Linked DNA regions of Cricetulus griseus. The protein of the gene in region 2 purifies or fractionates together with the protein of the main gene of each other region. This does not show direct contact. Links are inferred from orthologs where the notes say so. Each region holds a gene or a part of one and is shown on either strand. Other genes may lie near its edges.

Region 1 (3,651 bases), on a different chromosome or scaffold from region 2:
AGTCAGTGCTCTCTCCACACACTCACACAGATGGCTCTGTGACTGCTCTTCAGGCTCTCAATCATCAAGACAAACCAGGTAACACCAGTGCTACCGTCCCCTTCATTGTGAGAACACTCACAAGCCAGAACAGGTATAACAGGGGTCCCATTGGCCAGGGTGTTTCCCATGACAGGAAAGATCATAAGCTTTGATGCTGCCCAGACACTGAGAATCTCTAAAACCTTCACTAACAAGGATTTCAGCTAACAGAAGCTCCATGGAGACTATGAAACTGCACTTCCCAAGGAGTCTGGGCCTGCCATACCCCTGACAAGCCCAAACCCTCACACCCACCCACAGTTAAAGGTCTTTGCTCAACACAAAATCTAAGAAGCAGGATTACAAGTAACTAACAAATAAATAAAACAAAAACTCTAACAACAAAGGGAGACAAAAATTTTCCAAGAACCAATTCAAAAGAAGGAAGAGAAAGGTGTTTACAAACTGCTGTCAGATAAGCAAGTAATATTCATCTTCAGGGAGTGTGGTGAGTTTCAAGAGAACAAGACAGATACACAAGCTATAATGAAAGAATACAAAGAGCAATTCTTGAGAGCACAGGAAAGTACAAAATTTACAGGTGAAGACAAATACATAATCATCTTCAGACTTCTCCACATTGTAATGCAGAGTGTAAATAATTCAACTCTATCATAAAGGTAAAAAAAAAAACAAACACTGGGACTCAGGTAAAGTGCCTATCTACAATGCACAAAGCCCAGAATCAACCTTCAGTACTACCCCAGTCCATCACAGTGCTAAAAACAACTGTAACTACAATTGTAGTTATAACTGTCCTATTAAATAAAGGCAGTGTTAGAAATAACTATAGCTACAACTATAGTGACAACTATCCTAATAAAAACAGTATTAGAAATAACTGTAGCTACAATTATCATATGAAAAATAAACAATAGGCCAGGCGTTGGTGGCCCACGCCTTTAATCCCAGCACTCAGGAGGCAGAGGCAGGAGGATCTCTGTGAGTTCGAGGCCAGCCTGGTCTCCAGACCAAGTGCCAGGATAGGCTCCAAAGCTACACAGAGAAACCCTGTCTCGAAAAACCAAAAAAAGAAAGAAAGAAAGAAAGAAAGAAAGAAAGAAAGAAAGAAAGAAAGAAAGAAAGAAGATAAACAATAAATAAACTTAGAAGGATATAGTGACACCAAAGCCATGGTATGCTGGGAAGACAGAGGCAGTTTCTGTGCAGCTGAAATCATCAGTTTTCATAGCAGACTGCTTTAAGATGTGAGGGAGGCAATCCTCAGCTGAGGTCCCTCTTCCCAGGTGACCAGTGTGTCAATGACAGAAACCAATCAGCAGAATGGTTAAAGACATGTAGTATAGCAGTCCTGACTGCCCTCAGAGCGCAGCACACCTGAATCTGACAAATGAGTGAACTATATATACTAAAACCTAGTGATAATGACCATCTGTTAGTCTGTCTTTGCTGAGAGCAAACAGTCACAGCTGAAACCTGTTCTGAGCTGCACTGACAAAAACCATTCCTGTCTTCTCCCTTGGCATTTAAAACAGGGTGAAGAATTTTGTTTTACAAAGTATAGCAATTCAAATGTTAGAATTTAGAACGTTTTTGTCTTTTATATATAAGTTAAATTTCAAGTTACAACATATAAGCCCACAAGTATGGTTGTCATTTAAAATTCTGACATTTTCAACAGTGAAGACTAAATTCATACTAGCATTACTATGGAGAAATGTTGCTTTTTTTCAAACATGTTCTTAAAGATCAACCTCCAATAAGACCTACAACATTATGAAATCACTTGTCAAATTTGTTGCATTAAGAGAACCCTTGAAACAAACTCTGGGTGCCTTCAGAAATGCCTGCCACCAAGCCTGACGACCTGCATTCCATTCACAGAACCCACATGGTGAAAGAAGAGTTGTCCTATGACCTCCACTAGCAAATTGTGCTTTATTTTCCTTGGATAAGAATTTTTTTTTTGCTTACTGTTTTTTTCCAGATCGGGTCTGGCCAACTAGCTGAGTTGGTCTGGGGCTCACAATGTAGCCCAAGTTAACCTTGACCTCAGACTCCTTCTGCCTCAACCTGAGCTGACCTGAACTTGCTATGTAGACCAGTCTGGCCTCTGCTCACAGAGATTACATGCCTCTTCCACCTAAGTGCTGAGATTAAAGGCGTGTGGGCATGGGTGCACTCCCTACCCCATCATATACAATGGATTGATCCACTATAAACATTTCTACTTCCAAATTCCTTTTCATCATATATCACACAAAAATGACCAAAGGTCCCTGTAATTTCCTGAAGGAGGTCCAACAGATTTATCATTATTATGGAAGGCATGCACAAGTCCAAACTTTCTTCATTGTATGATTCCACTTACATGTGGTACCTAAAGTAAAAAATTCAGATATAGCAAGTAAAAGGCTGGTTGCCAGGGGTGGGGGGGATGCTTTCAAGTGTATGGGATACAGAGTTTCAGAGTGAGAAGATGAAAAGGCTCTGAACATGACTGTAAAACAGTACACATGCACTTTATGCTGCACAAGAATACATTTTAGAAGGCTAAATTGGTATATTTTTATGTATATTTTATCATGATAAAAACTCCTAACAGCCCATTTATTTTAGAAATTATGTCCAAGTTCACATAGTTAATTGGTTACAAATATACAATTTCTAATTCTATTTCACTAACAACTGTGCCCCTAAATTTATTTTAAGCAATAATAAAAATTAAGAGGTTAGGGATAGCCGGGCATCGGTGGCACATGCCTTTAATCCCAGCACTCAGGAGGCAGAGGCAGGCAGATTGCTGTTGAGTTCCAGGCCAGCCTGAGCTAGTTTCAGAACAGCCAGGGCTACACAGAAAGACCCTGTCTCAACAAAAACAATCAAAGAACCAATTACCTTGGAAACCATTTGGCATGTTCTACCCAGGGGTCATCTCCAGATTCCCAACACCTCAAGCCACCATCACAACAAAAGCATTTGACATCATCATTGCGATCTAAACAAGAAAAGAAGATGAGAAACTGACTCATGTATATTCCCATAAACAAAAAAGAGAAAGTTCTAGTCTCTGTTAACATCTTACCCACATAGTAAAATCCAGCACTTGCAAGCTGCTCAGGCTGAACAGGAACACTGGACGGCCAGCACAGAAACGTCCTCATTCGAGCAGTATGTGTCTGCATACTCAGATTTGATATACTAAACCTCTGCGTTTCTGAAGAATTTTCCAGAAATGGACAGTTGGGAAAATGTCTCCGATGCTCTGACATAGCGTCATCCTTCGGTTCCCAGTTGCTCAGTTTTCCACCACACGCAAAGCAGGCCACCCTGTCTCCAGGTCCCACATAGTAGAAGCCGGCTCTGGCCAGCTCAGCTGGTGACAGAAAGCTTAATGGCCACATACTGTAAGTAAGAAATCTGGCCTCTTCAGTAATCATGGCATAGCTGCAGGGATTGGTCCTTGATGACAAGTCTTCCACTGCTCTAGAATTGAGAGGATTTGAGGACAAGTTGGAGTGAGTACCCGCTCGTTCTGGAATAGGTAACGAATGTGCAAGCCCACTTCTCACAGGAGCTGTGTTCTTGGATGGAGACTGCAGATTAGCA
Region 2 (3,514 bases):
TACTATATTTGCCTGATCATTTCAATTAGGATTTACTAGTCTGTAAAATTTTCCATCCCTTTCCAATTGTAAAATTCTCTAATAATGTATTTGAAATATTAATTTGTTTTCTTTGTTTGTTTGAGACAATTTCTCTGTGTAGTCCTGGCTGTCCAGGAACTGGCCTCAAACTCAAGAGAACCGCCTGTCTCTGCCTCCCAGTGCTGGGATCAAAAGTGTATGATACCACTGCCCAATTGAAATTTTAATTTTTCTAATTAAGGCTCATTGTAATATCTGTTTTAAGTACACACACACACACACACACACACACACACACACACACACACACACCCCAACCAAATTTAAAAAAAAAACAAAACTATAATGGTTCGCCAAACCCCCACTAATAGGACAGAAAGCAATCCCTCCTCCCATCTAACCCCTCTAAACTTGTCCTAACATCCTCCTCAGCTTCCTTGAGACCCCACCTGAGCCCACTGTACCCAGAATCCTGCCCCTCCTCTCCCAACTCCACCTGGCTCACTCGTCCCTTGAAAGAACCTAACCCCAACCTGGACTTGACCTCGGTATCTCCACAAGTCTGTAAAAGAGTTACATTTTATTTCGTTGCAAAGTGCTTGGGTCCCACGTTGAGTATGAGCTAAGGGCACGTTGTGATCAGGAAGACTTGTGCATCCTGATCACAACAGTATTTACAGCACCTTGAATGACATCTAGACCTCAGGAGGTCCAGGTACTTGGTGAGTTTTTGCAGGAAGTCCTCTTTTAGGATGAGAAGTCAAGGACTACACTGTCTCCTTCAAAGAATCTGGGTCGAATCCTCAGTGATGTACTGATGCCTGCCTGCCTTCCGGGGAAGTCAGCTCCACTCCAGCAGCTCGGCAAAGTGGGGGTAGTACGTATGCTCTGAGTCCAGTGGGTGGAAAGCGGTCAGCAGTAGCAACAGCAGCAGTAAAAAGACCCCAATAGCCACCAGTGGGGACCAAACCCTGGCTGGCCAGCTGGTTGACCGCCCTCCCCACAGTACCAGACCTAGGCCAGGCCGCCATCCGGCTCCGCCTGGCCTAGCAGATCTTCTGCAAGACTGGTGAGCTCGTTCTCCTCCAGCGCCTCCACCAGGCGCTGCAGCGTGGCACGGCGGCCCTCGGCTTGCATGAAGCGGAGCAGCAGCTGGAAAGCCTGCTCGTATAGCCCATCTCGCTCATACTCATAGGCTAGCGAGTCGAGGGCAGGATCCCTCAGTGCTCGACAGCTACGCTGCAGCGAGCGCCCCACTCTGCGCCATTTGAGGCCCACTGAACGCGCGAATGTCTGCTGGTCTTGCAGATTCAATGGCCGGTTCACTGCAGAGAAAGAAAGTGAGGAGAGGTGAGTGAGCACCAGTTCCCTGATGCCAGCACCCTCCCGTGCCTGCCTGTGTAGCCCTGGGTCCAGCCATGCTCCAGCCCAGATCAACCTCCTGGTGGCCACGCTTCTGCTGCTGAACCTCACCTACGGGCTGACCATGGAACAGAAAAGTCTGGCAGGCCACCGGCAATAGCTTCTCTTCGGCTGGAGAGGGAACAAGGGACTTCGAAGAGGCTGAATCAACCTGTATGGCTCCACCCTGGCCAGTGCAGTCGCACGTCAGCTTGCGGAGTTCATTCTCCAGCTCGGCGAGTTCCTCATCCCGGAGCCGGTCGGGCTGCACAAAGGGGTGCACAGTAAGTGCGGCTTTGGGCCGCAAATCCCCACCCATCCCATCCTAACTCCAGATGGCAGCACCTTCTGGGCTAAGATGTAATTCAAACAGCGCTCCTCGTCGGTCAGCCAAGTGTCCAGCTGCTCTGCGCCAGCACGCAACTCCAGTTGCAGCCGCACCGCTTCCTGGGCAAGTGCCGAGGCCATGCACCTCTGCAGCGCGGTGCGCAGCGCCCCCTCGCGGTAGGCTTGGAGGAACCGGCCGCACAGCAGACGCCCGCAGAACCGTAACTGCACGATTAGCTGCTGGTCGCTGCAGTGGATCTTGAGTATCTGCAGTACGTCAGGGCTGTCCGCACTCTCTGCAGAGACGAGCAGTCAGGCCACCCGCTGTTCCCAAACGGCTTTTTTCCAAGCAGCCAGAACAGGAGGGTAAGCCCATAGTCAGACCATTCTCCCGACCCTCAACCAGCTACAGCCCCCTGTGCTTTCTGCCCTGGGTAGGGGAAGGGGAACAGAAAGGGTAGGTACTGGGGAAGGGTTTGGGCAGTGAGAAAGGAAAAGAAGACAGAAAAGCACCGTTAGTAGCAAAGAGTGAACTGGTTATTCAGAAGTGGGGATGAATATACATCAAGGTGGCATTAGAAAAGAAAACGGGGCTGGAAAGATGGCTTAGAGGTTAAAAGCACTGGCTGCTCTTCCAGAGGTTCTGAGTTCAATTCCCACATGGTGGCTTACAACCATCTATAATGAGATCTGGTGCCCTCTTCTGGTTTGCAGGATGACATGCAGGCAAAAGACTATATACATAATAAATATATCTTCTTAAAAGGGGGGCGTGGGGCAAGATGCTTTTAAAAAGAAAGAAAAGAAACAGGTATATCTAGATAGACACAAACAAGTGCACAAATGTCTACACTCAAGGACCCATGCAATAAGCAAAGGTTGCAGACCCCATACAGCCGGAGGTCCTCCCTCTGCCTTCATACCTCTCCCAACCCCACACCAAAATAATCTTTTTCCTAAAGGCAAAGAAGTGGGGCCTCAAACCCAGTCCCATTCACAAAGTCCCAGAGTCACCTCTACAGCAGGCCAGCCACACACCTGACAATGCAGTCTGCAGAGCCTTGTATATTGACAGCTTCTTCTGAGGATCTGTGTAGGCTTCAGACAGGACCACCTTGTCCATCAAAGACTCCAAAAACAGGTATGCACTGCCTACCCACTCTTCATGTCCATTTTGTCCAGTTGCCATCTCGACTCCTGGAGATGCAAACAGATCATCTCCAGACTTGGAAACAACTATCCAGTCTCACATTGCCCAGCTGTCCTTCCACAGAGGTCCCAGCTTTTGGCTCTGCTCACAGTCCTGCCCAGTCCAACCCAGACTTGAACCCAGGATTGTCCCTCCACCACCTGTGACAAAAAGTCTAGGGTCACAATAACAGAATAACAGAGGTGGGCCCTTTAGTGGGCCCCAAGCCAGTATGTCCCTCTTATCAAAGCTGACAAAAGACATCTTCCTTCTGGATGGTGCTCATGCTTTAAGACCAGCCAGATTCAAGTCTTAGCTTTGCCTTCAGCTTAACCTTAAGTTCCAAATAAACTATTATTTGGAAAGTTCAGGTGGAAAGTTCCCACTATACCTGGCTTCACTTAATTTTCACTGCCTAGACCCAAGTTTGAATGTGAAACGTAAGACTGCCCAAGGTACACATCTCACTCACATTCATCAGAAACCAGTCAAGATTTGATATAGGGATCAAACTAAACTAAAGAAACTAAACTCTGCATCCCTGGGAGGACCACTAAGGAAGTGGCACTAATTCCC

What was found.
Region 1: the proteins of Tradd (region 2) and Birc2 purify together in Homo sapiens (affinity purification with western blotting; 3 studies listed by BioGRID and IntAct, with this or other methods). This does not show direct contact. The link is inferred for Cricetulus griseus from reciprocal best matches to the Homo sapiens genes TRADD and BIRC2.

Annotation. Positions count from the first base shown.
Region 1 is NC_048597.1:122,214,194-122,217,844, forward strand, and holds part of Birc2 (baculoviral IAP repeat-containing protein 2), read right to left. Parts: coding exon 3,128-3,651; intron 3,041-3,127; coding exon 2,941-3,040; intron 1-2,940. UniProt on the Homo sapiens protein: Multi-functional protein which regulates not only caspases and apoptosis, but also modulates inflammatory signaling and immunity, mitogenic kinase signaling, and cell proliferation, as well as cell invasion and metastasis.
Region 2 is NC_048596.1:181,546,589-181,550,102, forward strand, and holds the end of Tradd (tumor necrosis factor receptor type 1-associated DEATH domain protein), read right to left. Parts: intron 2,947-3,514; 5' UTR 2,939-2,946; coding exon 2,788-2,938; intron 2,046-2,787; coding exon 1,768-2,045; intron 1,688-1,767; coding exon 1,495-1,687; intron 1,347-1,494; coding exon 1,036-1,346; 3' UTR 583-1,035; downstream 1-582. UniProt on the Homo sapiens protein: Adapter molecule for TNFRSF1A/TNFR1 that specifically associates with the cytoplasmic domain of activated TNFRSF1A/TNFR1 mediating its interaction with FADD.